Pelodiscus sinensis: one gene and its partners. The protein of the gene in region 1 interacts with the protein of each later gene in a biochemical or structural test. Links are inferred from orthologs where the notes say so. Each region holds a gene or a part of one and is shown on either strand. Other genes may lie near its edges. The genes, in order: SIK2, HDAC5 and CRTC2.

What was found.
Region 2: of the proteins of SIK2 (region 1) and HDAC5, one has a biochemical effect on the other in vitro, tested with the Homo sapiens proteins (2 studies listed by BioGRID). The link is inferred for Pelodiscus sinensis from reciprocal best matches to the Homo sapiens genes SIK2 and HDAC5.
Region 3: of the proteins of SIK2 (region 1) and CRTC2, one has a biochemical effect on the other in vitro, tested with the Homo sapiens proteins (2 studies listed by BioGRID). The link is inferred for Pelodiscus sinensis from reciprocal best matches to the Homo sapiens genes SIK2 and CRTC2.

Annotation. Positions count from the first base shown.
Region 1 is NC_134736.1:6,544,178-6,553,677, forward strand, and holds the start of SIK2 (serine/threonine-protein kinase SIK2), read left to right. Parts: upstream 1-5,112; 5' UTR 5,113-5,255; coding exon 5,256-5,405; intron 5,406-5,641; exon of another isoform or gene 5,642-5,962; intron 5,963-9,500. UniProt on the Homo sapiens protein: Serine/threonine-protein kinase that plays a role in many biological processes such as fatty acid oxidation, autophagy, immune response or glucose metabolism.
Region 2 is NW_027466028.1:522,051-532,320, reverse strand, and holds the start of HDAC5 (histone deacetylase 5), read left to right. Parts: upstream 1-5,669; 5' UTR 5,670-5,697; coding exon 5,698-5,875; intron 5,876-7,422; exon of another isoform or gene 7,423-7,582; intron 7,583-10,270. UniProt on the Homo sapiens protein: Responsible for the deacetylation of lysine residues on the N-terminal part of the core histones (H2A, H2B, H3 and H4).
Region 3 is NC_134734.1:23,286,131-23,296,604, forward strand, and holds the start of CRTC2 (CREB-regulated transcription coactivator 2), read left to right. Parts: upstream 1-5,779; 5' UTR 5,780-5,836; coding exon 5,837-6,001; intron 6,002-10,474. Other genes in the region: SLC39A1 (zinc transporter ZIP1), read left to right, coding at 615-1,259. UniProt on the Homo sapiens protein: Transcriptional coactivator for CREB1 which activates transcription through both consensus and variant cAMP response element (CRE) sites.

The DNA of each region.
Region 1 (9,500 bases):
CATAGGGCCTGTCTTGGATAGCTGGCAATCTGAGAGAGTGCCTGCCGGTCAGGATTTGGTGGCCTGTCATTGACTTCAGGGGTCCAAGTTCAATCCTTGCCAAAATATGGCCACTTCCTAGTGAGAAAATGATAACCTGCCAGTTGACTACCAGTGTGGATAATGCTAGGCAATTGCTGATGATTGGCACTAGGAAGGGGGTAGCCACTGACTGGTGATAGCTAACTTCCTGGGATTCATTAAATGAATTAGTGCATTATAGTAAGCAGCTGTATGTGTATTCATTTTTTTATTCTTCAGATCTTGAAATATTCTGTTTTTAGCCAGAACATAAGCAACTTTGAGTCCTTGAAAAACAGGTAAAGAGAGTACAAAGCTCAGGCAACGTAGTAAAACTTGGGTGTGTATGCTCTTACATCCCTATTTTGGTAACTAAATGAATGTCCTTATTGTTAAAAGAACTAACAACTTGCAGCTCTCATTGAAGTCAGTGAAAGTCTCTAAGTGCATTCAGCACCTCTGAAGTTCAGGCCAGATATTTAGGTGTTGAAATATGGTTTTAAGTAGTTAATTTCAGTAAACTAATTTTGAAACATTTTGCCTAAATATTAAAGCTCCCTACATTCATTTTTTTTTATCTGGAAGGGGAGCGAATAACACATCAGCTGTGTTCTTTCCTCATTCTGAAATCAAAATGTTAAATATGGTGGTGACAGTAACTGATAAGAACAAGTCTCCTTGAACTTGTCACCGCCTATCTAGCATGCCATTTGTGGAGACCTTTCAAGCCATTGGTGCAGGAACAAGTTAAATGTTTCAGTGCCAAAGTGTTCCCTTTTCCTTCAAGTTTAAGGCTGCTTTCAGACTGGAAAGAGGACAGGTGCTTGTGTCAGAGATAAAAAAAGTTTCTTTGATGTTTAACAGATGTGATTCCTGCACTCCTCTCATAGCTGCTGCTTGTGGGACAGAGGCAAAAGCTTAATGGAAAACGTGCTTTCTTGCAGTCAGATATGTTTGAGTTCACCTTTGGGCAATCAACCCAAGTTATTTGGAAAAGGGCAGGCACCAGCGAAACCAAAGATGAAACTAGTGAAACACTCTCACCTTCACACTTATAATTAATGAAAGTAATATAAATCTGCTCCAAACCATTTCACAGACACAGAATATCCAAGTTAAGAACAAGAAGCTAGATGGTAAATCATCCTTTCCCTCTCCCAGGAACCAATACAAGATTGTTTCATAGAACAGAGGACACCAAATGAAATTAATGGGTGGCAGGTTTAGAACTAATAAAAGAAAATTCTTCTTCAAACAGCGTGTAGTCAACCTGTGGAACTCCTTGCCAGAGGAGGCTGTGAAGGCTAGGACTATAACAGAGTTTAAAGAGAAGCTAGATAATTTCATGGAGGTTAGGTCCATAAAAGGCTCTTAGCCAGGGGATAGAAGTGGTGTTCCTGGCCTCTGTTTATCAGAGGCTGGAGAAGGATGGCAAGAGACAAATCGCTGATCATTGTCTTCGGTCCACCCTCTCTAGGGCACCTGGTGCTGGCCACTGTCGGCAGACAGGCTACTGGGCTAGATGGACCTTTGGTCTGACCCAGTACAGCCGTTCTTATGTTCAGCCTTGTTTTAAGCATCAAGCAATTGCACTTCCATTGCTTTTGGGATGAGAGGGTTCCGTAGCCTAATACATTGCTCTGATTAAGCTGCATATTAGGGAGAAAAAATCTTTTTTCATCCAATCACTCCTACACATACAGCACTGCTACACTAAAAAAATGCCTTCCCATTGATGTTTCCATTCTTTAACGGTAGGGTTATGTCCTTCCCCTTAGCCAAGGTATAGATATTTTGTTCTCTTTTTTTTGAACACAGTGCTCACAGATGATGTGATGCCTACAAGATGTGATGCCAAGGTTCAGACATGGTGGGATCAGGGCCTGGTGGAGGATGACTAATTCCCAGTCTTGTGACAGGGTCTCTTCCTGTAAACAGCCCAAAATTGCATTCGCCTTTTTTGTAACCCTGTTTCGTTGCAAAAAATTCATCTATTTTGTTCTTTGGTGTCACAATTGTCAGTTGGGTAAAAGTGTGATTCAGTTAAGGAAAAGGTATGTCATCTCAACTATCAAAACAAGACATGTGGGCATCTCTCTACCCCGCTGGTCAGTTCTGTTCCTCTTTGTCTTGAGTTAGAGACAGGATTCCAAGTACTCGGTTATAATTTGGAGGGCACATAGGTGGCCTCCTTGCTAAGAATAAAGTCCCCCACACAACTTTCTCCTTGAAGTATATACCTATGAATATTACTGCCTAACAACTTAGAAATATAGTTCTGATGCTTTGTATCCCACATTCTCCATGTTTGGATCTGTATAGCAATTAACCATCAATAAAACCTCACTGCTTGGGCACTGTGCCTTTTGGGATGATGGACGGGAGTTATATAACTTGCCCAAGAATACGCAACTCATTGGCTGAACTAGGATTAGAACAAAGGAACTGCAGGTCCATGTCTAATCCACCACTTTAAATATTAACAATATTTTAGTTTGCTGTTATTTCACTATGAAGACTCAATGTACCATAAGCTATCGCAACTTGTGGCAGATTTGACACCACAATTAACTTGGTTTCTTCAGGCAGTGAGGATGGACCAAATGGGTCTGCATTGTCTCTACTGGCAGAGGTCAACAACAAATATTGGTGGCAATGAACTAACTTTTTCTCTCTAGGGAACTGCTGTGACTCTATACTGCACTATTGTACTTACCAGAGCTTTCCCATTTCACCTAGTAAGTGAATGCTCTAATATGATGATCTCTTAATTAGGGAAGCATATTCCAGACTGCTCATCAGTCCTTGAAACATCCACAGTCTGATTTTTAGCAGTGGAGTTCACTAATGAAGGTGAAAATTTCACTGCAGCACCAGTGCAAAGACCTGAAATATGTGGATAGAACAGTTCTAAGATTACCCTGGTAAGACCACTGCAAAGGCGCTTTCACCTTGTATGGGATTCAGTCTGATTCCCTGCCTCAGGTATGGATTCAACTGGCTCTGAAAATCTTGGGAGAAGTGCCTGTCTTCTGACTTTATCTTTGAAAGTAGGTGCCTTTGGTTTCTTCTTGCTTGAAGCTGTTAATTAGTTTTGAATGAGTGTGGGGGATTAGTGGACTATTGAGCCTTCTTTGGCCAGACTTCTCTAGCAACTCATTTTATCTTTTAGCGCAACTCATTTTATCTTTTAGCACAGACAACTGTCGGTGTCATTGCTGCGATCTCTTCATATGCTGGATTTATCCTAATTTGTAATATGTGCAGAGGAGAGAAATTAATCAGAAGATCTCCTTTGACACCTTAAATTTATAACACCTACAGTGATCTATTAATATACATAGGGCAGTTGTCCACTAGAGGGCACATGAGCTTCACATTTGATACTCTTGGATCGTTAGTGAAGTTGACTTTGAATATAATTCCTCAATATTTTGTTTTGAGATCACACAGGTCACTGTAAAAAAGTAAAAGTGTGTGCAAAGTACTTGGTGGATCACTTTGTTTGAAGCAGAACAAGATGTGAATCGGGGTAGCAAAACCATCTGCAGAAAGGCTGTTCTCTCAGCTGCAATTTTTTCCCTGGATGTTATTTTGAAGTTGTATTTCAGAACTTTTCATCAGCAATCAAAGCCTCCAATACAGCCTTCAATGTCGCCGTTGGGCCGTAGCTGGCCCATTGGAAACACTGCCCAACGCAAGAGCTTCGTGCTCTTACTGACAAGGAGGGGTGTGTATGTACTGGGGGTATTTCCTTACAGATGTGATCCTCGCCCAGTTGAAATGCTGCTGTCATTGGGAAGTAGGTTATTTTGCTTCAGAAAATAGTAGCTTTGAAGGTGAACACCAGTTTCCCCATTGTCCTTTGTTAAGGTGTGAATTTAGTCAATGTGGAGGATCCCCATCCTGCTGACTGAGCAAGCACAGGCCCAACTTGGAGGCTTTGGGTGGAGAAGTAAACAGTGTAGCTTCCTTTTTCTGCTAATTAATGATTTTTGGCAAACCTTTCCTCAGTACAGGTACACACAGTAAATACATCAGTACATGAGCCACTGCTGATGCAGAGGGGAGAGTAACATAGCACATTGGACTCATGAGACTATGTGGGGCAGGGATGATGTCTGTTACAGGTTTGTACAGTACCTAGTGCGTGGTGCCCATCCAGGCTAGCCTAATACAATACTGGACATCCTGGCCTCTGTCTGGAGCCTGGGTAGTGGGTGAACCTAGTACTGGGAGAGGCAATTCCCCAGCCCCATCCCTGCTGCCCAAGGCCCGCCATGGGAGCCAACCCCACGTCCCATAGGGACAGGCCCCTAGTGGCACATGGCCCCTGCTTCCTGGCCCCAGTCTGTATAGGCATCACCTTCCCTTGCCTCTTTTACCCACGGGGAGCCGGGCTTCTGTCAGCCCTCAAGCCATCTGCCTGGGGCGAAGTGGCCCCTGCCGGGGGCGCCTGAGGGGGGGTGAGCGCTGGGCAATGTGTGTGCATCTGATTGTGTCCTAATCCCCCGAAGCTCCTTGGTCTGGTGCAGGGTGGGACTGGCCCAGCAGCAGGGCAGGTCTGGGGGCCCAGCTCGCTCCATGCCCCCAAGGAAGGGGGCGCAGGCCCAGGGAAGTGACAGGCACAGAGGTGGAGGGAAGGGCGGGGGGGTGCAATGAGGGGGTCCTGCCAGCAATGCATATGGTAGCATTGGGACGGTGCATTGCCCCCCCTTGACCCCTTCCCGATAACTGCTGAATGGGGTGCCCCCTCGCTGCACCCCTGGGGAGCCTCTGTGCACCCCTCCCCCACAGGCCTCAGTCCCACTGGGTAGAGCAGCTGTGGGAGCAGAGGCAGCCAGGGCTAACTAGGGCTGGGGGGGGGGGAGCGTGTAGGTAGCCTAGTCTCCCCCCCCCCCCCGAATGGCCTCGCCCAGGCACAAGCCGGCGCGGAGGGGGGGGAGGGGAGGCGCGCTCCTGGGGACAGCTCTGAGGAGAGCCCCGCTGCCGGGGGAGGGGGCGCCACGCAGGGAACAGCCCCAGGGGGCCGTTGCTCCTCCGGCGGCGGTGGCTCCGGTTGCCATGGCGAGACCCCTCCTCCGCTGACGCGCGCGGTGACGCGCGGAGCAGGGGGGGAGGGGGCGGGGCGGCGCGGCTGGAGGGCGCCGCACGGCCGCAGACGGACCGAGCCGCCGCCGCCCCCCGAGCCCAGCATGGTAATGGCCGAGCCCCGGCGGCCCCCCGCGCTGCTGCCCCGCGGGCCCGGGCCCGTCCGCGTCGGGTTCTACGACATCGAGGGCACGCTGGGGAAGGGCAACTTCGCCGTGGTGAAGCTGGGGCGGCACCGGATCACGCGCAGCGAGGTGAGGCGGCCGGGCCGGGGGGGGACCGGGCCGCCCTCGGGCACCGGCTCGTGAGGAGGCGGGGCCGGGCCAGACCCTTCCCCTCCCCCCGCCACGGGGGCCGGAGCCGAGAGGACGGAGGTGGCACCAGGTGCGCCCTGCCCTCCCAAGCCATCCGCGCCGCCGGCCCGCGGCTCCCTTTGTCCCGCCGCGGGGCCGGGGATGGAGCCGCCCCCCCGCCTCTCGCCCGCGGGGTCCGGCTGGGGGGGGGGGGGGACTCGCCCTTGGAGCTCGCCTCCCTCCCAGTCACCGTGACAGCAGAGCGAGCTTCCTCCGGCCCCCTGGGGCGGCCGCAGCCGGACAGGCGCGAGCCGGCGACGGGGCGCTGGGTTTGCCTTGGAGCCTGCACTTGCCTGCCCCTCTGCGGCTGCCGGTACCGGCGCTAGCAAGACACGGTGGCTGAGGATCCCCCCCCCCCTCCTGGGGCCAGCTTGCGCTGGTGGCGGAGCGAAGCGGTGGAGAACAACTCCTCCCCGCGCGGGTCTCGGGATGGTCAGCTCAGGAGGAGCGGTCAGCAGGTGGCTGATCTCTTTGTCACGGCCCAACGCCGAACAGCTTTGCAGCGCCTCATTTGTAACTGCAGAGGGGCTGGGGCGCAAACCATTAGGTGCAAGGGAGCAGGCGATTATTTTACTGTCATACCTGAGGTGCCAAGTGCAAGGGTGCTGGGGCTACGATGTGTCTAACCTGGCAAGCCCCAGCACAAATCAAGCACTGCAGCTTTGAATCCAAAAGGCTAAATTGTTCCTTATTCTGCTGTCCCGTTTGCATTCCGGGTAGTATCTTCAGGTGTTAGGGCCAGCTTCAGTACTTCAGTTTGAAGAATGATTCCTTCATATCCCATTCCCCTGAATCAGCCTGTCTGGGTACTAAATTAAAAACAGTCATCTTTTCAGAAATGCAAGTTATCCATTCAATACCAGTTTCAGAAAACCATAATTATTTTATGCATTATGTATAATTATACTACTAGTCTGCTTTGGTAAAAAGGTAGTTAGATATATTTTTAAAATATTAAATATCTGATGGAAGCAGCATGTGTGGATCTCATTGATTAATCATTGTAAAAAAATGAATACGTTCAGTTCCTCTACATGGATTTAATTGTTATATTTCCTATTTTTAATAAACCTTTTCCTTTGATGTGATGTGAATGATCCACATAGACAAGGAAACTGAACAAAACTACGGTATGTCAAAAGCACAAAGTAAACCAATTAAAAGCTGTAAGTTTTCACTCACAGTGATCTTAAATGATACAAGTATCAATAGACAGGAGGCAGAACTACATTTTTAACTCCAATGGTAATTTGACTGTTAAAATTGTTGAAGGCACATAGTAGTGGTCACTCTTCAAAACTGTGCACAATATTAGTGACCTTGAGGTCCCTTCCACCCTGCGTTTCTGTGCTTCTATGAAAATCCAAAGCATTAAAGGAAATTTAATCAAGTTATGGCTTAAACTGCAGTTTAAGAAGTAAAGGCACCAAGTCAAATGCTTTTTAAATCCTTTCCTTGCTACAAAAGATGACCCAAGTTTGGAAGTTGGAATTTTAAGTCATGTTGAGTTACAGTGTTAATGTTTCACTTATAAGGCAGTAGATAAATCTATTTGTTTTCTGGTCTTCAGTCATCTGGTCTCAGTGACACTGCTGTGTCAATCATAACTTTTCATTGTAATTCAGATATTAGATCTGTGTTCGGTTTTATGAAAACTTAAAATTATATAAAGTCCAAACAACTTAACACTCAGTTTGACTCAAGTTAGCTTAAAAAATGCCTGAACTAAAGTACGTTCTAAAAACTTTACTAAAGGTCAGTAGAAATAAGTTTACATTTGGTTAAATAGATTTGCATTTTGGTTAGGGCTTTGAATGCTGTGTTCAATTTGAAAGCTGTTTTTATAGTTCACGTTGTGAATTGCTACTACCATGATGGGGGTGATTCCAGGACTGTGAATGGCAGAGTGAAGTTATGAATAACAGTTGTATTTCACATGATCCAGCTCAAATTAAACCTATATATTACCCATAATTTTTGTAGCAGGTTTTCTGTTTCCAAAATTTTGAGATTAAACCAGGTTGTACACTCTTTTATTTATTTATTTTGCACAATCACTTCTTTCTACAACAAGACATCTATAAGCATAGGGTTTGGTTAGTAGGTGCAGCTAGCTGAATTGCAAGGGAGAGGGACCTTATTAACTCTCACTAATGGAAAAGGAAATTAACATTCTGAACAAGTACCAGTACTGTAAATCAGTGGACTCCAACCTTTTGGGGCTGCCGGGTGCCCGGGGTACGGGCCAGGCATGCACTGCGTGCCCGGGGCGCAAGAATGGCTTGGGCTTGCCCTGGTCACTAAGCGGGCGCCATGGCGCCCGCAGGCACTGGGTTGGGGACCACTGCTGTACATTGTTCAAATTCAGGCCAGTGAGTTCCACCAGCTCTGCAACATGTGTACACGCAAGACATTGGAAGGGTTCTTGATCTGCTGAGGCTTCCAGTGATTCTTCTAGAAGGGAGAACATTGAAACTCAGTGTGTAGCTAATAACACGTACGTGTATTTCTGGAGTTGCTCTGTGCTCATCTCACATTTAACCTCCTATATTTTAAGACTATCTTAAGTTTGTAGAGATGTAAGCGACTGGTTGCTCCCCTCCTCCCCCCCACACCCAGGGACTATAGAATAGTTGACTAACTGATAAGAATTCATGAGGTTAATCGACTATTCAGTTAACCAATATTTAATATCCCTAGTTTGGACAGGGCATGATGGAGAACCATGGAACCATGGGGGAGCTCCCAGCTTAACATGCCTGTGCCCTACTGAGAACCAGATTTGGGCCAGGCAGGAAGAGAGCCTGGTGGAGTAATCTGGGCCACTAGTCCTTATCCTGGAGCTCCATGCCCCACAGCCCGCTCCCCTCCTTCCATCCCTACTCCTCACTTCCATCCTCCATTCCTACACCTCCATCCCCCTGCTTCCATTCCTGCACTCACCCATCCTTCCTAACCCCACACTTTCTATCCCTACCCATACCTCCTTCCTCCATTCCTGCGCCCCCATCCTTCCCTAACACCTCCCCTTCTGCGCCCCCCACTGCCCATCCCCCTGCCTCCATTCCTATATCCCTCTTACCCCCACCATTCCCCCTTACTGCACCACCCATCCTCACACACACATTATTCCCCCTTGCTCCCTCGCTACGCACACCCTGCCTCCTTCCGTGAATTTGTCAAGCTGCATGCCCCAACCCCCAGGAACACCACTGTGCTGGGCAGCACAGCCCCGGCCACTGCAGCAGGAGCCACAGCCTACTCCCAGCCCAGCCTTTCCAAATGCACTTCTTGGGGCACTTTGCTCCTTAGTGAGCTCAGAGCACAGAGTGGCCGCTTTAAAGTGGCCAAGACCTGCTCAAGACCTATGGTGTGGCTAAGACCTGCCCAGCTTGTGGTGGACCCAGGAGAGCGTGCCTGAGCCAGTGGCCTGGTGTCAGGTTACTGGCACACGCCAGAGTGGCTTGCTCTAGGGGAGACCTGCGTCGTGGCCCCCAAGCTCTGTGCCCGGGCCGGGGCACACAGAGCATAGACACCTGGCAGGCAAGTGGGCTGGGCAGGCTGGGGATGGGCCTTGGGGGGCGTGCGGGTACGGAGCCACCGTCCTCTCACCCCCATTTCTCGGAGTGGTCACTTGGGTAAGGCTCCTGGGGCAGGGCCCCCAGGGAAGGGTGAGGTGGGATGCAGAGTGACGTTATGATGTCACTGTCATCCTGTAGGAAATTTTTTTGATAGAGATTACTTTAAAAATACAGTATCTGTGAAGTATATAAACCTGGTTTACACGCAGAATCCATCCTATGTGTGGGATCCTACGTAATGGAATTGTAATGAAATGCTGCAGGCCTTAAACTTACTTGTCATTAAATTAATCTAATACAGATAAAGGTCAAATTAGACTGAAGCAGAATGTGTACATAAGAAAAGGTGGTTCAGAATGTGGAGTGTTGCAAACTAGTTCTAAATTAAGTGTGAAATCATATAACTGCAACCTTA
Region 2 (10,270 bases), on another chromosome or scaffold:
CATACACTCACTTTCTGTGCTATGATTCTATGACACTGAGCAGAGAACCCTGGACAGCACCCACTGCCCTCCAAAGTGGACACCGCCCAGCGGAACTCTGCCTGGATGTGTGAACGGGTGCAGGAATGGAAATAGGTCCCTCCCTCAGCCAACTTCCGCGCCTTCATTTTATAAATTGCCATCTTGGCCATAGCCAGGAGGACGTTGACAAGGCTCCCCACCCTCTGTTGGTGGTAGGAGGTCCTGCCACTTGGTATCTGGGCGAGACAAGAGGTTGGGGAAGTGGAGAGTGTGTACAGTTGACTTTTTGGCATGGTTTGAAAGGGGACCGGCTGCAATGTGTGCAGCGAGTTTGGGTGATGAGAGGGAGATGGTCAGAAGGTACACAAGGCGAGGGACTGATGGAGAGATCAGGAGGGCTAGGAGTGAGGGACTAGGAGTAAACCTGAGCAGTGGGCGGCAAAGTGTCCTTCACCTCCTGAAGTACATGCCAGGGAATACATAGGGTGGAGAGTCCCATGTGCTGGGTGAGCGCGGGAGGATCCACCCATTCTCTCCGGGCGCAGTCCAGGAGGTCTCTGATTCTGGTGACCTCCGCCAGGACCAACTTCTGGGACACTGAGAGGGACTCCGCCGCCTGCACACGAAGATGGGGATTGGGTAGCAGGGGCTCCGTGAAGAGGTCTGCTCCCACGCTGGCTCCCAAGGACCTGGTCACCGCAAGCAGCTTCCAGGTCCAGAGGAGGTCCTGGTAGAAGGCCGGCAGCTCAGAGAGGTTTCGCAAAAGACCTCTCATATAAAGGAGCTGCTGGTCATATCGGAACCTTCGGAAGTGGTGAAGGAAAGCAGGTGCCAGCATGCTCCATGCTGGACTACCTGCATCATATAGGAGCCTCCGCAGGGCCTGGAGGTGGAGGACACGGACACGCATGTGCAAACATGTCAGGCCCTTCCCTCCCTCCTCCAGGGGACTGAAAGTGCTGCCCTGTAGTTAAGGTTGCCTACCATTTTCCATTTTAAAACCCCGTTCCTGGTTGCTTATAACTTGTGCCAAATTTTAACGGGTGGGACCGAGATTTAGAGCCCTGCACAGATACTAATGTCTACCCATGGATGTAGATATCCGTAGATAGACCTCGGGATCTGCAGATCAGCAGGGAGCTACTCCAAAGAGACACTGCAGCCAATGGAGAGAAGCGAGGTCCTGGTGTGCACAGGAGCCAATGCACCATGCTGGCAGCACAGTTGTTCTGCCCCCAGCTGCGGTGTCTCCCGTCTGGGGATGTACAGCCCTGCTGGTGACCAGGAGGAACGGTACAGTCACCCAACCAGGAGGAGATTGTGATGGACCCTTCCCCGTGCTTTATGAAATGGCTTTATGAACACCAATATACATGACTCAAAGATGCTTCGGACAAATTAACTCATGTAACCTTGTCATGGCTCCTTCCCCACTCTGGCACGATAAATGCAGAAGTGGGGGCCAGCAAAAGTACCCCAAAACCTTATCTACCAGGCTTTGGTATAAAACTTCCCCCCAAAATCTTAACCTAGATTTTGGGGATAAAAATTCCGCTGCCACCACCCAAGTATTGATACAAAAATCAGGGGAGAGATCACTTGGGAAATCTCATCCCTAAAGTACAAACTAGGACACAAAAATTAATCCATACCAGGTTAATAAAAATAAAAGAGAAAAAACTTTTATTATCACCACAATATTCCTGTTGCAAGCATAATGACTAGATGGAAAAGTAGCAAAATAATATACTAATGGAGGAGAAATCTACCACGGGCCAGGAACTTAGTTACAAAGGAGAGCAAACCCATTTTTAAATGCACAGACATCAGATCCCATTTCCCAAACCATAAAACAATAAAACCTAACAGATTTATCTAAACTTTATCCTACTTACAGACGTGAAGAGTATTTTCTTAGTGGGAGACATCCTGTTCCCTTCAATAGCTGTAGAGAAACTCCCAGAACAAAAAGAGAGAAAAACCAAAAATTCCTTTGTCCCAGTTTGAAATTCCTACCTGCATTCCTATTGGCTGAATGCACCTGACTTAGGTAAGGTTAACCCCTTAGTTCCCAGGCTGCTGGCTAACCCTCATGATCATGACAAACCTATCAATCTTCATGTCATAATCCACTGGATCTCTTTATCTTATTCTGGTGTATGTATCATTCTTGTGTGTAAAACTAGATGCATGGAGTATGGGATTCTTTATGGTTTTAAATGTGCAAAGGAAAGCCATCAAGAGTGTTTCCAATGCTGGGATGCTTCAGTGTCTGGGCAGTCATATGTAAGTTGCCTTTTGTCCTTAAGTCTTAGCAGGGGTTTGTCTTAGGAAGTCACATGACCTCCCTAACTAGTAGCCTGTGTCTACACTGCTGGGTTTTTTTGGAAAAAGATACGCAAATTGCGAACTGAAATTTGCGTATCTTTTTCCGCTTGTTTTTTGGAAGAGGCTTTTCCGACATTTGGCCCATCTACACAGGACCAAAAGTCGGAAAAACTTCCTCTTTCGGAACATTCCTTATTCCTCATAAAATGAGGAATACAGAGATGCTGACAGAACATGCCCACGTTTTCAGAAACTGTTCCGAAAATGTGAACACATTCCCTGGACGCGGCAGAGTTTTTCCAGGATAAACTCTGCAGTCTAGACATAGCTGTAGGGACTGGTCAGGTAACTTCTCATGCAAAAATGGGAATCTTTAAAACAATAGGAAACTAGCGGGTCTTTGTTTTTGGCTGGCTGGCATTCCACACCCAAGGCAAGGACCCAAAGACCCCAGGGTGAGGAGCTGCCCTGGTTTGAAGGCTTACTAGGAAAGGAACAGTTTTAGAGTGAGTTTGTAATGAGTTTGTACCGGGGTTTTAGTGTTAGAATTAGCTAAGAGTTTTCTGTTATTTTAAGTTTGTAATCTACTTTGCTCTGCCCTTTCTCAATTATTGCCTCTTAAATCCTACTGCTTGTACTTAATAAAATCACTTTTATTTACTATCAAGCCTAGTTTAAATAATTGTTGCCTGGGGGTAGCCAGTGTGTACATTCCCCCTTTCATTGTTAAAGGGGATTCACCTAAATAATTCCTTTGGAGTTCTGATCCCATTTGGGGAGTGGTATCCTGGGAAGCTGGGCCCCAAACTCCATTTCCTTGGACCTCAAGGCTATGTCTAGACTGGCATGATTTTCCGCAAATGCCTTTAATGGAAAAGTTTTTCCGTTAAAAGCATTTGCGGAAAAGAGCGTCTAGATTGGCATGGACGCTTTTCCACAAAAGCACTTTTTGCGGAAAAGCGTCTGTGCCAATCTAGATGCGGTTTTGCGCAAGAAAGCCCCAATCGCCATTTTCGCCATCGGGGCTTTTTTGCACAAAACAGTTTTTAGCTGTCTACACTGGCCCTCTTGCACAAAAACATTTCCGGAAAAGGGCTTTTGCCTGAAGCATTTGCGCAAGAAGCACTGATTTTGGACAGTAGAACGTCAGTGCTTTTGCGCAAAATCAAGCGGCCAGTGTAGACAGCTGGCAAGTGTTTGTGCAAAAGCCATTGCTTTTGCGAAAAAACTTGCCAGTCTAGATGCAGCAGAAGAGTTTTAGTGTTAGTACTGCTTCTCGGGGGAAGAAGGAGCAGTGATCTCAGCTCTGGTCCTTGGCTGGGGGAGACCAGGAGCTGGCCCAGCAGGACAGAGTGGTAAGAAGCTAGATGGCAGGAAGGCAAGTGGCAGTGGTCTTGTCAGCACGCTGGGAAACCCTCCCAAGGAGTCTTCTGTGACTGCATCCCATCACAGAGATGCTGACATGGGGCACTGTCTCTCTGGTGTGATGGGACCACGCTCCTCTTCATTGGCCAAAGTGTCTCTTGGGGGTAGAACCCTGCTGATCTGTGGATCCCGATGTCTATCCATGGATATCCACATCCGTGAGTAGACATTTGTATATGTGCAGGGCTGTACCAATGTTTTCTATGCCAGGTTATTGACCTCAAGCTGAATATTTTTGTAAAGTTTCACCTAAAACAGTTCAGACATTTCCCAGAATAAGATGAGGGGAAAACAAATGGGTTTGTTCATGTTAAAAGACCTCTTACAGCTATTCAAGAAGCTGTAGTGAAATTTGGCAGGAGGATCAGGCTGGAGTCAGGGCTGTGCCTTTCACCAGCTCTGTGAAAATGTGCCAGGCTTTGGCCTCTACAAAAATGAAATTTGCACATACTCTGTTAAAAGTATTTGCGCAAAATAATGCCAGTCTAGACGCAGCCTGGTTGTTGTCTCTCTGTGCCTCAGTTTCCCATCTGTAAAATGGGGATTATGGGCCCTCTGACTGGGTCTACATTCATGAGCATCTGTGGCATGCTCGGCTAACTGCTGCGAGAGGTGCATAGAAACACACACGGACCGTGTTGTGCCCGTGTGAGGTTTGGGGGGGGATTGCATATGGGCTGAGGCAGAAAAGCAATAGGGATAAAAGAATGCATCCAGGCCTGAGTGGTGAATGCTGCGTGCATGTTTGGGGATCAGGCAGCACAAAGGTTGCCCTGGGGGAACTTTGTGAGACATGTTGCTAACTGTGGAGCATTAGGCTGTGAAACTTCAATGTGTCCCCAAGGGGCGCCCTACTAGCAGGGCCCAGCTGGGCTTGCACCCCCATCTTCCGCTGGCCCTAAGGGCGTCCCGCTAGCCGGGCCCAGCTGGGCTTGCACCCCCCCAATCTTCCACTGGCCCCACGGGCGCCGCGCTAGCAGGGCCCAGCTGGGCTTGCACCCCTATCTTCCGCTGGCCCTAAGGGCGTCCCGCTAGCCGGGCCCAGCTGGGCTTGCACCCTCATCTTCCGCTGGCCCTAAGGGCGTCCCGCTAGCCGGGCCCAGCTGGGCTTGCACCCTCATCTTCCGCTGGCCCTAAGGGCGTCCCGCTAGCCGGGCCCAGCTGGGCTTGCACCCCCATCTTCCGCTGGCCCTAAGAGCGTCCCGCTAGCCGGGCCCAGCTGGGCTTGCACCCCCATCTTCCGCTGGCCCTAAGGGCGTCCCGCTAGCCGGGCCCAGCTGGGCTTGCACCCCCATCTTCCGCTGGCCCTAAGGGCGTCCCGCTAGCCGGGCCCAGCTGGGCTTGCACCCCCATCTTCCGCTGGCCCTAAGGGCGTCCCGCTAGCCGGGCCCAGCTGGGCTTGCACCCCCATCTTCCGCTGGCCCTAAGGGCGTCCCGCTAGCCGGGCCCAGCTGGGCTTGCACCCCCCCCATCTTCCAGTGGCCCCACGGGCGCCCCACTAGCCGGGCCCAGCTGGGCTTGCACCCTCATCTTCCGCTGGCCCTAAGGGCGCCCCACTAGCCGGGCCCAGCTGGGCTTGCACCCCCATCTTCCGCTGGCCCTAAGGGCGTCCCGCTAGCCGGGCCCAGCTGGGCTTGCACCCCCCCAATCTTCCAGTGGCCCCACGGGCGCCCCACTAGCCGGGCCCAGCTGGGCTTGCACCCTCATCTTCCGCTGGCCCTAAGGGCGTCCCGCTAGCCGGGCCCAGCTGGGCTTGCACCCCCCCCCCATCTTCCGCTGGCCCTTTAAGGCCGCGTGGGTGACGCGCCTTCCTTCTTGGAGGCCCCGCCCTCGGGGGACCAGGCAAAGGAGGGGGAAGGAGCGGAGCAGGCAGGCTATTTTTAGCCCAGGGTTCCGTCACGTGACGGGGAGTGACGTCACCGAATGTTGTTGTTGGTGGTGGGGCGCGGAGCGGGCTGCGCGCAGAGCCAGCTGCAAAGATGGAGGAGCGGAGGCGCTGGCGGTGAAGCCGCGGGCAGCCGGATCCCTGGCGCGGAGGGGCTGGCCAGGGCACCCAGCCAGGCGGGGCCCCGCTGCAGCCGCCCACCGGCCTGGGTAGCAGGTAAGGGGGGGGCCGCCCCCAGGGGACACAGGGCGAGCGGCTCCAGCGCCTGCCCCATGCCAGCGCCGGGGAAGGGCAGCCGGCTCGGCCCGGGCCCCGGGCAGGGGTGCAGGGCGAAGCCCCCTTTCGAACGGGATTGCACCTGCCACAGAGAGAACGGGGCAGCCAGCCTGGTCCAGGTCACTTGCCCGGCTGCGGGCTCTGGGGCAGGATATTGGCCGGCAGGGAGCGCTGAGACATGGGTGGGTTACTGGGGCTGGCTGCTGCATTGGCACCCTTGGGGGTGTTTGCTAATGCACCTGCCCGAGACTCTCCTCCTCTTGCGGGGAACGGGTTGTGGGTGGGGGCCAAGGCAGGGGAGCAGAGGCTGTGCCTGTGACACAGAGCGCTGGTTATGAAACGGCAGCGCTGTCCGCATGGTGGGGTGGGGGGATCCTGCCTCCAGTGCAGATGGTGCTCAGGACTGGCTGAGCTCCAGTTTGGGCTGTGTGTATGTCTGGGGTAGGTCGGGCTGGGAGGATGCGCCTGGGGCTGTGAGACGGGGTGTGTGCCCATCACACCTCACTAGCCTGGGCTGAGGAAAAGCCACTTCTTGGAAGCAAAGAGTGGCATGTGGCTGTCGATGGGCAGAGGTGCTGGGGGTAAGGGAGGACCAACACAGGCTGGTTTTTCCTCTGGGCCTTTAAAGAGGGGGTCATTCTGGAACTCCACAAGGGAATGCATGCTTTTCCACCTCCTCTGCATCCTCTTGTGCCTGGCAGTTGCAGCTTCTTCAGGCTAGTGGGCGGGAGTGGGGAGGGAGGCCTGCCTCCATCCTTAGATCCCTTTGTCTGGAAACCTGCCTTGTAGGAGCTTAAACTTTGTGCACCCCGTGATGCCTGCATGGGAGATCAAGAGGATGCAAAGCTTGTTCAGATGCATGAATGCCCTCCTCCTGCCCCTTGTTTTGAATCAAAATCTTGTCTCTTGACCTTCTTGCTAGAGGGCTTGGTGCTTCTTTTCCCATCTCTAGCTGGCCTGGGAGTGGTGGGAGAAGGAAAATGTGTGTCTGTTATTGCCTGGGAGACAAAGGTTTGCTGATGCCTTGTCTTGCACGCTAGCCGTGTGCTATAAATACCTAGGCAGAGGGAGTGCGCATGCGGGGGGAATGAAAAGGGTCCTGAGAAGCGGCAGTTGCCCTTAAATAATTGATCCTTCCTACTTGCATCTTTTGGAGGAGGACCATCTGAAATACTGCAGCGCTCCCAGCTCCCTGATGGGTGATGATTTTTGTTTGCTCGGTGCCAGACCTACTCTGCTAGGGGATAAGGTGCAGTAGCAAGTGCTGGTCTTGGGGCTCTTTTCCCTTTTGCTTTTGGAGCCAGATTGTTTCTCCGGTGCGGGATGATGGGAGGGGTAGGATTTACTCCCGGACCTGCTCTCCCTTCTTTCCTTCTCCATCTGTGCCTTGTTATTCTTGCAGGTGAAATTGCAAAATGGGGCCATGATAGGAAAGGCATTCCTCTGGGAAAATAGGTTTGCTAATGGGTTGTCTGTGTTCCTTTCAGATCAGCATGCCAGGACCAGCATATCTCTGTGCTGCCAGTGGGGAGCCAGACTTTGCTCTCAGCCACGCTGGTGTAAATCAGGACTAACACCATTGACTTTGGCAGCATTGCTGTGCATTGATGCAGGTGTGGCTGAGAGCTGAACCTGGCCTGTGAGCAGGTACGCATGGTGCAGTAGGCAGTCTGGTGACCCCCATGGGATCATAGAGGTTAGAGTTGAGAGACTGGTCAAGTGCCATCCAGGGCATGTGGGAATAGATGACAGGGCTCCCCTCTCCTTCCCTCACATAGCTGGCTGCCGGGAAATATTTCCTAGTATTCATCCTCGTTTTTTCCCCCCTGCATTCCTGTCCTCCTTGCGTAGTGACAAATCCCTCCCTCCCTGTGTGCTTACACCCTTTCGGATGTCTGCGGAGTATTACTATTTCTGTCTGCCTGTTGTTTAACTCTTTCAGCTGTGAGGCCGCACCCTTCGTTATTTTGCTTCTCTTCTCTGAGCTCCCTTCTTGCTAGCTCTGTACCTTGGATAAGGTGTGAGCCTCCAGATTCAGTCACTCCTGCCTTGGAGGAGGAGAAGGGTTATAGAGATCTCAGTTGGGATCAGAGCCTCATTGTGCTGACAGCTGGACCCTCTCACCATAAAAGATAGGCCTGCTCAAAGGACCTTATAGTCTGAATGGGGGCATGGGCAGGAAGGGGTTAATGCCAAGATGAACATACAGTTCCATACACAGCATTGAGAAGGGACTTTGGTCGAGTGGTTTGAGCTGGGGGGGATTGGTAGGCAGGACTCCTGGGTTCTAGCCCTTGCCTTGGGAGGAGAAGGTAGTCAATGGGTTAGAATGCAGATGGACATGACTCTTGCTTTGTTTCTCTAATTTAGACAGAAATTAATGAAAGGAAGTCCTGTGGCCTGTGTGATATGGGGTCTTGGCCCAGAGGGTCACAGGAATCCCTTCTGGGTCTGCCGAATGAAATGCTTGTTAGTCCCAAAAGCTCAGAAATCACCAGATGGGCATAATAAATCTCCCAAACTTTTCTTTTTTTTTAAACGTTGGGTTCTTATTATTTGACTTCCAGTTTTTCTGCCTTTTGGGGCTTCATTTTTTCAAGCTTCTCTTGGCCACCACAAGGAGCAGAGAACTATCAAGGTAAATGAAGGCGGAGAGGCTCCTGCGTTCACGCATCTCCTTTCAGAAAACAGTGGCTGGTTGCAAGGCAGGCAGGGAAATCCCAGGTGCTGGCAGGGCTGTGTGCTCATAATGATGAGCATGGTCCAGAGCCCATTGATGTTGATGGAAAGGGGCCGCTTGATTTCAGACTGAGCCCTAATTACCAGACCCTAGCATCCTCCATTACTCTCGGTTGTTGCTGAGCCTGGTGGCAGAGCCAGCCCTAAGGTGTCCGTTGCGGAGGTAAATCAAGTCTGAGGCAGCTGCTTTACATTATTATCTTCAAGGGGTTTCACTTCCATTTTGTTTGATTTTTACAGGCCACCTCTTGGTACCTCACCATTACCCCTTTGATGGAGACAGGTGTGTCCCGCAAGGGCCTCCACTTAAAGCTGCCTTGGGTCCTGACTACCTCTAGAAAGGAGACATCATTATTTGTTCTGAGCCAACTTGCTATATAGCACCTTGGAGGCTCTAGTCAAGGACCAGGACCCGTCCTGCTAGGCCAGGGGTGGGCAATAACATGGCGGCTGTTTGCCAAGGTTGGCCCTGGTGGGCCGCTGCCGCTATATTTACCTGAACAGTCATGGACCAGGACACTGCTCCCCGCAGCTCCCGTTGGCTGGGAACGGTGATCCATAGCCAACGGGAGCTGCGACTGCCAGTACCTGTGGCCGTGAAGGTAAATATAGCAGCGGGGTCCTCCAGGAGCTAACTCTGCTGGACCGCATTTGGCCTGCAGGCCAATATTTGCCCATCCCTGTGCTAGGCCTTATATAAAACATTGAACGAAGAGGCAGCCCCTGTCCCGAGATGCTTACTAACTTTGGCCCAAATTCAAACCTTCCTTGGATTGTCTCGAAATTTGACAGAAAGCTGCAGGCTCAGATCTTAAATATTGTGGCTAATTTTAAATACTGATCGTGGCGGCTAATGGGACTTGGTCAGTGAGGTCCCTTCAGTGGCTTTCAGATTCTAAGCTGCCTTTGTTGTCCTTGTAGTATTGCCACTGTTGAAAGTTAGTCTCCTGGCTGCAGGCAGGCCCTGTCCATAGCTTGGGATTCAAATCTTGTCCCAGCAGATTTCTGAGCCGATCAGAGGGCGTTTGATTTCAGGCTGCACCTTTCCTGATTAATCATGTAGCTCTAGCGCTGCTCACTCAAAAAGGATCTGCCGGCGCGCTCTGTGTACTGAGGCCCTAAATGCAGCTGATTCTGGGGTGGGGGGAGGAAATAGCAGCTAGTGTGTGAAGGGGAAATGTTGCTTAAGCAGCCTGGAGCAGTGACATGGTCCTAGAATAGCTGCCATGGGCTATCACAGTGCAGAGAGGACTTATTAAAAAGATCCACCCAAGGATCTAGTGAGTCTTACACTTCTCTCTCTTGGGTTGCCTTTCTGACTTAGTGGGGTAAGAGAGACAAGATTACAGTTTATTTGTAGCATCTAGAAGTCCCTGCTGAGATCCAAGCTGCATTGTGCACACACGCATCAGAAGAGACAGGAGCTAACTGTCTGATATACAAGGCAAAGGAAGAATTCTCTCCATTTCACTGTTGGGACACTGAGGGGCTAAGGGACTTGCCTGGGGTCACACAGGGAGGCTGTGGCAGAGCCAATCTCCCAAGTTGCAGTGCAGAGCTCCTGCCACAAGATGCTCCCTCTCCAGGAAGGGTGCT
Region 3 (10,474 bases), on another chromosome or scaffold:
GACGGGAGGGGCTTGTGGGTGACTCACTGGAGCGACACGCCCCTCCCCCCCTTCCCACGCAGCTTCCTGGCAGCCAGCTGTCCCAGCTTCTCGGCAGTGATGCCTCTGGCTCCGCCCTGCTCTGCCTCTCCCAGCACGGGGGGGTCCCGCCGTCACTGCCTGTAGGGGCCCCCCGCTGCCCCAGAGCCTCTGCTCCTTGGGCTGCCTCCAGCGCTTTGCACGGGCTGGTTCCAAGGGCTCCTGCCCAAAGGGAAGGCTTCCCTCCCGGCCCCCCATCTGCCCGCGGGGTGGGTGGTCCGGGAGCCCGGCTCTCGGGGCTGCCGGGGACGTGGCGTCCGAGGGAGGGTGGGGAAGCTGCGGGCTGGGCTGGGCGGGGCCCCTCTGGCCCCAGGAGCGGGCCAAGGCGAAAGCCAGAGGCTCCAGACGTGCCCCTCACTGTGGTGTCCTGGCACCGGTCAGGGGGAAGCGACAGCTCACGGGTGGGGCCAGTTGGCTGCGCCACCAGCCCAGCTGGAAATGGGGCCCCTACTCGCCCCCCCGCCCCAGGCCCCGAGCAGCGAGAGGGGGGGCGAGGGGACCGGGTGCCCAGCTGACCCTGCCCCTTCCCTCTGCAGCTCCAGTTCCCCCTGCAGGAGTTCATCTTGGCCATGGGCTTCTTCCTGGTGCTGGTGCTGGAGCAGATCGTGCTGGCCCACAAGGACCAGTCCGGCTCGCTCGAGGAGACGCGGGCGCTGCTGGGGGCCTCGGTCCAGGCCGGGACGGTCCAGGCGCTGCACTGGCCCGAGGAGCCCCCGCGCCCCCACGCGCACTCGGCCCTCCGCTCCTTCCTGCTGGTGGCCTCGCTCTCGCTGCACTCCGTCTTCGAGGGGCTGGCCGTGGGGCTGCAGGAGACCAGCGCCCAGGTGCTGGAGATCTGCTTGGCCTTGCTCCTCCACAAGTGCGTCATCGCCTTCAGCCTCTCGCTCCAGCTGCTGCAGAGCCGCCTGCGCCCCCGGGCCGTGGCCGGCTGCCTGCTGCTCTTCGCTCTCATGTCCCCGCTGGGGATCGGCGTGGGCGTGGCCCTGACGGAGACCTCGGGCGCCCTGCACCAGCTCTCGCGCAGCGTGCTGGAGGGGCTGGCCACCGGCACCTTCCTCTACATCACCTTCCTGGAGATCCTGCCGCACGAGCTCAGCTCCTCCCAGCAGAGGATCCCCAAGGTCATCGTGCTCCTGGCCGGCTTCGCCCTGGTCACCAGCATCCTCTTCATCAAGATCTGAGCCGCCTGGAGGAGGTGCGAGCGCTGCCGGGGGCCTGGCCGGAGCCGGCGGTCCCTCTCCCGGCGCGGGGGGGCCGGAGCCGGCGGTCCCTCTCCCGGCGCGGGGGGGCCGGAGCCGGCGGTCCCTCTCCCGGCGCGGGGGGGCCGGAGCCGGCGGTCCCTCTCCCGGCGCGGGGGGGCCGGAGCCGGCGGTCCCTCTCCCGGCGTCTCCAGCTGCTGTCTGACCTGGGCTGGGCGCTTGGGTCTCCTCCCCCACACATCCCCGCAGAGAAGCGATTCCCCAGCCCTGGCCAGGTGGCAGGAGCCCTGGTGCTGTGGGCAGCGCAGGAGGAAATGCTGATCGGTCCCTCTGGGGCTCAGGGCAGCATCCGCGACCCTGCTAAGCCAAGGGCGCCAGGCCGGGGAGGTCGGAGGCAGGGCAGGGCGCCACTGCTGTGGAGCTGGGCACCGATTCGGCTAACCCCTAGGGCACGTGCTTGGCTCAGCTGGGGTCTGCCGGGCTTTGGGGTGGCTCTGCTGCCCTCTGTGGGGCACAGCTCCTCTGCAGGGGGCAGTTGCCCACTTGGTAGCATGGCCCTCCCCATCCCTGGGAAGGCAGGGTCGGCGTGTTCCTCCAGCCAGAGCGCCCAGCCTGGGGGGTGCAGGGTAGAAGGGGGCTGACAGCGCCTGCAGTCTTCCATGGCCCTGCTTTGCTCAGGCTGTTCCTGGGGTGGGCCTGGGCCTTTGCCCTATGCCAGAGGAGCCTGGCTGTGCCGACACACCCTTCCCCTCCCTGCAGGGTTTCCCCCAACTGGAGGGCAGCAGGGCCTAGTGGCTAGAGTGCTGGAGTGGAAGCCCTGGGGTCTCTTCCTGGCCGTGCCGCTGGGCGATCTTGGACAAGTTGTGGCATGCCCCGTGCCTCAGTTTCCCCATGTGTAACCAGGGCACCGGGCTCCCCTTCGGACAGGGTGACAGCCGTAAGAGGAGCTAGAGTGATGAATTATTGTTTTTAAGGAACACCAGCTGTAGATGGTGGTTTGTTTTAGAGGCGCCGGTCTGGTCCCAGAGCGTGGTGACGTGGGGCTGGCGTCCGTGTGACCAGGGCTGTGCGGGGGGATAGAAACGTGCCTTAGAGCCGCCCAGTGTGGCTGCCTTCCTGCCCGACGCCGTGTAACCCTGGAGTCGCCCTGGGAAGCCGGGCCTGCCCCAGAGAACTCGTCTCACGGGTTCTAGCTGGCGCAGGCAGATCCGCCGTTCCTGGGCAGTGCTGGCCAGTGGTCGGGCGACAGGGTCCAGTGGCCTTAACTCCTGCTCGGGGAGCCCGTCCTGCTATTTTTATACACTGCCCTTTCCGGGCTATTCGGCTGCCTGGCAGGCCCAGCCCTTTTAACGCAGAGTCTATTTTACTAACTCCCCTTCCCCGTCGGGACGCGGCTGCGGGGTTCCCATGCTGACTGAGAAACCCGTAGAGGCGAAAAATAAACTGACGTGAATCTAGCTTCTTGGGTGCCGCGTTTCCCTCGCCCTCCCCCGAGCAGCGACATGTCCTGGCTTTTGAAAAGCCCTTTCTTTGCGGGATACGTGCCCGACTACAGAGAGCGGGCTTGGGGGGGAGGGGTAGCTCAGTGGATTGAGCCTTGGCCTGCTAAACCCGGCGTTGTGAGTTCAATCCTTGCAGGGGCCAGTTAGGAACCTGGGGCAAATCCGTCAGGGATGGAGCTTGGTCCTGCTGTGGGGCAGGGGATGGACTCGATGACCTCTCCCTTCCAGCTCTGAGATAGATCTAGCTCCATATAGGACCACACACAGCCAGACCCAGGCCTGGGCTCACGTACAGCCTGGTGCCCCTCAGGGAACGTGCGGCAGGCTCTGGCCAGCTGCGTGGGCCAGCTCCGGGCAGGCTCTGGTGCACTCCGAGCGCCCGACGCGCCCTGCAGCGTGCGGATCTACGTGCCGGCTTGGTGTGCACTGCTTGCTCAGCCCGCTGGCCGAGCGCCCCCTCCAGTCCCTGCGGGGCCTTGCACGCTCGCTGGTGGGAGCCGCCGGCTGCGGCACTAGTCCCTGCTAATCCTGCACCGCAGCCCCAGCGTCAGCCTGTGGGTGCCCAGGCCGTGCTGAGCGGGTCCGTGTGAGAGCAGAGCCCTCTGGGCTAGACACAGAATCCTGCCCCTTCCCACGGCCTGGCCCGGCTCCCCAGTGCCCAGCCAGCCCTGCACGAGCCGCTCCAGTGCTGGGGCGCACGGGCAACACCGGGCCACTGTGACTCGTTGGCTTTGGCCGGTCCCCTTGGGGCTCACCCGGCCTGTTGGCTGCACAGGGATCCTTGCTGTGGTCCGTGAAGCAGGACAGAGCCAGCCTCTGGCATGTGTGTGGCTGGGCTAGTGCCAGTGTTCCCTGCCCCCGCAGCTGCAGTGAGAGCAGGTTCGCCTCCGACCTGTGGGGCTCCCTGGGGCTGGGGAAGGGATCCCCTGGCTGCCCCGGGGGCCGTAGGAATGCTTTGGGCCTGCCCCTGTGCTGGACATCCCTGCACTGGTGCCCAGCCAGTCGGCAGGGGAGGCGTTCCAAAGGGGGAAGGGCATGGCTCGGTGCCCGAGCAGGCCTACACAGACCCCCGTGCGGCAGGCAACCGGTCCGCTCCGCATGGAGCTAGCTGCACGGCTGGCTTTTGGGGCGGAACGAGCCCCGCTCCCGGCCTGCTGGATGCTCTCGCCCATCGGGCTTCGCTGCTAACCTGGCTTGCCCGCCTAGGTTGCCGGGGCCCCTGCCGCTTCGGGATCCTTCCCGGGAAATCAGAGCTTGGCTTGAGGTTAATCAGGTCACAGGCGGGTTGGAGAGGCTCCGGGCGCTTGTCAGATGCTCTCCGGCATAAGTGCTGGGGGTCTAATGCGCCCAGGGCCCCCAGCCCAACCTGGGGCAGGTCACTGCAGCTTGGGATGGGGGGTTCCGCTATTTGCCGCCTCGCAGGGTCTGTGAGCTTTGCCCAGCGTCTGTCGGGCGCTTTGCTGGGGTTAGGGCCAAGGCCGCGCTGTGTGACCCGGGGGCGGGGGGGGGGGGGAATGTCCAAGCTGGGGAATCGATGTGCCTGCCCTGCCTTGGCCGGTCTGTCCGACCGACGCTGTTCTCCGTGCCTGACGGCTCTGTAAGTCACTTGACTGGACGCCTTCATGTGGTTCTCGCCGCCTCTTTTCCTTTTCCGGCCGGGCGGAAGTTTGCACTGGCCTGGGGGGGCCTGGAAATTCCTTTTGCAATTTAAAACAAAATAATGCGGGGGGGAAGGGGAATGTCTGCCGTGTGATGTGTTTGCACGAGAGGAAGCACATGCACTTTGCACTGGGAATGGCAGCTGCAGGAGTCTGAGAATTCATTCCACGGCGGCGAAAGCTCTGTCTCTTGCACAGGTTTATCCTGGCCTGGGCATTGGTGCCAGGAGCCCCGGGCGGTGTTCCCTTTCTCTGTGCAAAGGACAGTCAGGGGCCACATTCACTAGTGCCCCGTGCAGCGTTGTTTTTCTTTGTACGAGGGAATGGTGCAGATGATACTAAGCCGCTCATGAGTGTTAAATCCAAAGCAGACTGAAGAGCTTCAAACTAGGTGACTGGGCAACAACACGGCCAATGAATTTGAATGTTGACAAATGCAAAGTAATGCCCATTGGCAAACACGATCCCAACTTCACATACAGAATCAGAGGGACTAGTTGAGCTATAACCACCCAAAAGAGAGATCCTGGAGTCACGGCGGAGTCCTCTGAACACATCCCCTCGTGCGCAGCAGTATTCCCTTTGCCTGCACTCAGCAGTGGTGCAAAGGGCAGCCCGGGGCCAGGTTCACTAGTGCCCCGTGCAGTATTCCCTTTCCCTGCACTCAGCAGTGGTGCAAAGGGCAGCCTGGGGCCAGGTTCACTAGTGCCCCGTGCAGTTTTCCCTTTCCGTGCACTCAGCAGTGGTGCAAAGGGCAGCCCGGGGCCAGGTTCACTAGTGCCCCGTGCAGTATTCCCTTTGCCTGCACTCAGCAGTGGTGCAAAGGGCAGCCCGGGGCCAGGTTCACTAGTGCCCCGTGCAGTATTCCCTTTCCCTGCACTCAGCAGTGGTGCAAAGGGCAGCCCGGGGCCAGGTTCACTAGTGCCCCGTGCAGTATTCCCTTTCCCTGCACTCAGCAGTGGTGCAAAGGGCAGCCCGGGGCCCCGCTGCGAGCTCCAGCCGTTGTGTAACAACCAAAGCAGGAGCCTCCGGCGCCCGCCTCCCGCCCCGCTCCTGAGTGGCCGTAGCGGGCCCGGCCGTGCAGGTTCGGGACGGACCCGTGGGGCCTGAGGGCGAGGGAGCGCGGTGCACGACGGGAGCTGCAGTCTTCGAGCCCCTCGCCAGCCGCGAAGGAGCGCGTGCTTCCGCCCCGCGCAAGACTACGCCTCCCAGCAGCCCCGGCGGCGGCGCGCTCGGCACTCTGGGAGCTGTAGTGCGCTTCCGCCGGCCGCCCGCTAGGGGCGCGCGGCGGGCGAGGTGGTAAATAAACTACGCGTCCCGCCCTGCCCCGCGCCGCCGTGTTGTTCGGCGGAGGCCTGTGGCCTGCGAGGCGGCGGCAGGCGCTGCCTGGGCAGGGAAGATGGCGGCGTCGGGCTCCGGGGCCGGGCCCGGGCCGGGCTCCTCGGCCGCCGCCGGCGCCTCCAACCCGCGCAAGTTCAGCGAGAAGATCGCGCTGCAGAAGCAGCGGCAGGCGGAGGAGACGGCGGCCTTCGAGGAGGTGATGATGGAGATCGGCTCCACGCGGGTGAGCGCCGGGCGGGGCCACGGGCGGGGGCCGGGCTGTACCATGGGGGCTGGCGGGGGGTCGGGGGCTGGTGGCGGGGCCGGGCTGTACCATGGGGGCCGGCGGGGAGGGGGCCGGGCTGTACCATGGGGGCTGGTGGGGAGGGGGCCGGGCTGTACCGTGGGGAGGGGGCCGGGCTGTACCGTGGGGAGGGGGCCGGGCTGTACCATGGGGGCTGGCGGGGAGGGGGCCGGGCTGTACCATGGGGGCTGGCGGGGAGGGGGCCGGGCTGTACCATGGGGGCTGGTGGGGAGGGGGCCGGGCTGTACCGTGGGGAGGGGGCCGGGCTGTACCATGGGGGCTGGCGGGGAGGGGGCCGGGCTGTACCATGGGGGCTGGCGGGGGGTCGGGGACTGGTGGCGGGGGCGGGCTGTACCATGGGGGCTGGCGGGGAGGGGGCCGGGCTGTACCATGGGGGCTGGTGGGGAGGGGGCCGGGCTGTACCGCGGGGAGGGGGCCGGGCTGTACCATGGGGGCTGGCGGGGAGGGGGCCGGGCTGTACCATGGGGGCTGGCGGGGAGGGGGCCGGGCTGTACCATGGGGGCTGGTGGGGAGGGGGCCGGGCTGTACCGCGGGGAGGGGGCCGGGCTGTACCATGGGGGCTGGCGGGGAGGGGGCCGGGCTGTACCATGGGGGCTGGCGGGGAGGGGGCCGGGCTGTACCATGGGGGCTGGTGGAGAGGGGGCCGGGCTGTACCGTGGGGAGGGGGCCGGGCTGTACCATGGGGGCTGGTGGGGAGGGGGCCGGGCTGTACCATGGGGGCTGGCGGGGGGTCGGGGGCTGGTGGCGGGGCCGGGCTGTACCATGGAGGCTGATGGGGAGGGGGCCGGGCTGTACCATGGGGGCTGGCGGGGGGTCGGGGGCTGGTGGCGGGGCCGGGCTGTACCATGGAGGCTGATGGGGAGGGGGCCGGGCTGTACCATGGGGGCTGGCGGGGGGTTGGGGGCTGGTGGCGGGGGCCAGGCTGTACCATGGGGTATGGGGGGAGGTCACGGGGGGGCCAGGCTATATCATGGGGGGTGGGGAGGGGGGAGCCAGCTGTGGCGGGCGGCGCTGGCTCGGGGTGGGGGGCGCTCTCTCTCTGCAGCAGGCGGAGGGCGGGGCGGGGGTGTGTCCCTGGGGGTGGTGCTGGGGGGCCTGGCGGGACTCTCGGGGGGTGGGGCGGGGGTGTGTCCCGAGGGGAGCCTGGCTGGACTCTCAGGGGCCGGGGGGGGCGTGTGGGTCCCTGGCGAGGCTGGGGGGGGGGCTGGTTGCTGCGTGGGCCCGGCAGGGGGCTGGGGTCGTGGCCTGTGGCCGCCACTGGCCCGCTCAGCTGGGAACGTGGATCGTGGGAAGCGCCTGGACTGCGCTGTCCCGGGGCCGCCCACGGGGGAGAGGCCTTCTCCTTCGCTGACCTCCCCGGCTCTCGGCCACGAACACGGGAGGCCGAATCCAGCAAACCTGCCCCCCCAGCGGGCCCTGGGAGAGCGGTGGCAGCGGTGGCCCCAGGCGTTAGGGCAAAGACTGAGACCGCGGCAACAGGGAGCTGCTCGCCTGGCCCGTGGCGCCCTGGGATCCGGGAGGGCCCCCCCCCATCGGTGCTTCGTCCAAAGCTTTCAGGAAGGGTCCCAGGGGGCTAAGGAGAGGGCCAGGCGGGGAGCCCTCGGTGAGTGGTTCTGGGAGCCGGCGGGGGCTGTGCTGTGTTTCCCCCGCCCCCTCCCTGCGTAGGAGTCCGCATGTGCCCGCAGCGAAGGGGACGGGTTGTTCTCCACGCAGCCCCTGGAATCGGTGGGGGTTGTGTGAACCTTGCCCAGACTGGGAGAATCCGTCCGCTCCTTGGACGTGAGATTCCCTTCCCAGAAGAGCTGCCGATGGCGGATCGAGGGGGGGCAGGTGCGTGGGGGAGGGTTTGAGATCCAAGGGCTGAGGGATCCGGGTGGCAGGCCCTGCGGACTGGTCGTATGGTAGAGAAGGGACAGAGGCCGGCAGTGCGGTTGCGAGATTGAACAGGCTCCTGGGCTTGAGTGAGGAGATCGGCCCTGGAAGAGGAGTCTCTGGGGACTGGGGGGGTCTGGGCTAGGGGCTTGCAGCCCCCCGTGGCAGCAGGGCCTCAGCACACGCCAGCTGGTGATAGACAGGCGTTGCCTGGGGTGCCCTCTGTCCCCGGGTCACTGCTCCGAGGCCGGACAGAAAGCCGTTCCCGAGCGTGTCCCTCGGTGTGCTGAGCCAGGGCTCTCTGACGGGCGTGCAGGTGAGAATTAACGGGTGAGCTGTCTGGGCTGGGAGCCGGCCCTCTCGTCCTGGCCCAGGGCTCCTGGGCGGTGTTTGCACAGCAAACAGCTGGTTAATGTACAGCAGAGCTGGGGGCTGCCGGCCGAGCCACCCTCTTCGCGGCGCGGGCCCTGCGGGGCTGCCCGGTGATCCCTGCAGCCGGCTGGCCAGGAGCCGTGCGAGAGCCCCGGGGTGCCAGTGGCTCTGGTGCCGCGTTGAGCGCCCCCGTCCTGCGTCTGCTTGAGAGCTGGGCCACGGGAGCTAGAGGGGCTGGCGTGGAGCATGTGCTGGGGGCCCGTCTCGGGCTCGGCTTGTCGGGAGCCTCTTCGCAGCCCTGCCAGACTGGCTCCGGGCTGTGCTCGGGCAGGGTGTTCCTGGGGGGCTCGGAGCCGGGCACGCTGTGGAGTGGCAGCTCCCCTCCCCCCGCGGGTCTGAGGGCAGTTCTGTCTCCATGGCCTCAGTGCTGGGGCTGCCGGCCAGGCCCTGGCTGGAAGCTGGCTCCTGTCAGGAGTTGTCCCACGTGTTGGCTAGTGTGGGCCATTCCCCAGGCAGCCGCTGTCTGAGGCCGGGCGCCCTGCGTGGCCCTTCGGCTTTGCGGCTGCTTTATTCCAAGCTAGCGGGTGCTGGAGCCCTGCTCGGGGTCTGCAGCTGGCCGCCAGGGGCCTCCGTCTGCGCGCACGTGGGGGGGGGCACTCGCTGTGCCGGAGCTGTTGGCGGAAGGAGCAGTCTCTAGCCAGGCCAGACGCTGGCCCTGCCCCGAGCCAGGGACTGGCACTCAGACGCCGGTGGGGGTGGGGGGGTGGACCGGCTGCGGGGGGCAGGGAGGAATTCTGCCCTCCCGCTCTGAGCCGGGGGGCAGCCTCCCTGGGATTCCGAAGGGGGCTGTCTGCTGGGTGGGGTCTGCCTCTCCCGCTGGGGCAGTGGAGCTGAAACCCCAGGGAGGCTCCGAGCCCTAATCCTGGAGCGCGGCAGAGACAGCTGGTGCCTACGTCTCCCCTTTCCCGGGCTCTGGATGTTGCCGGTTTTAAGCTGAGGAATTTACAAGGGGGCTTTGTAGCCGCAGGGGTGTCTGAGCTGCTCTGCGCTGCCCACACTCGGGGGCTCCCCAGCAAACTGGCCCGGGGAGCCTCTTCCCTGGCGGCTCTTCTGGCTGAGCGACGGCTGTTGGACCCCTGGGGGGGCTGGTGGCTGGTTCTGCAGCAGAACCCGGAACCCTGGTGCTGGTGGAGATGGATTTTCACTGATGCCTGCAAGGGGGGGGTCCTGGCTTTCTACATGTGCTGCCCCATCGCAGGGCCCTCTTGGCGGGCACAGGAAGGGCGAGGCGGTCGGTCTGGCCTGGCCGGTGTGCCCCGGTCCCGCAGGATGGCCGAGCAGGCAGCGGGATGGGCACCGTGCCCGGGGTTGGAGCTTCCCGGCCAGCGTGCTCCTGCTCTGGGCTGAGCCCCGCCTGCTCTGCTCCTCTGCCCCCACCCGAGGGAGGCTGGTGCCCTGACCCCAAGGCCAGGAGAGGGATGCTGGGATCCTGATGGCAGGGGCTGGCCTGTCGTGGGAACCCGCGTGGCCCTGCCCTGGTGGTGGCCGAGCCCCGGCGCTTGGGCCATGGGTCTGTGGAGACGCTCTTAAAATATCCCAGTGTGCTCCCAGGGCGGTGGCGGGGCCCGGTCCCACGCCGGCCTGCGGCCCCTTGGGGCGGCGCCAGGGGCTGGTCAAGGAGCCGCAGCGGAGATGTGCCAGCCGGAGCCTGCCCGCTGGAGACGGAAGCTTTTTCTCAAGGCTACACGGATTCCCTGCCCCCCACCTCCTCCCCGCCAGGGCCTGACTCCTGCTGCTCCCCCTGCCAGCTCCCCTGCCCCCCGGGCCTGGCCTGCAATTCCTGGGGCTTTGCTGTGCAGGCCCCGTGCAGAGCCCGCGGTTCCCCAGAGCTGCTCGCACTGAGCCCCGGAGCTGGCCAGTCTCTGCTGGGCTCCCGTGGGCGCGGTGGGGCTGCCCCTCCCCACGCTTGGTTTGGTTCCCGCTGTTGCACTGGGGCGGCTCCGGGCCCGGCTCCGTTATTTCTCAGGCCCAGGGGCTGCCCTGCTCTGCGCCAAGGCTGCTGCCTCAGTCTCCCCTTTTCCCGGCTGCTCTGGGTGCCCCGGCGTCCCAGCTCCAAGCCATTCCCACTGCCCCGGCTGTTCCTGCCTG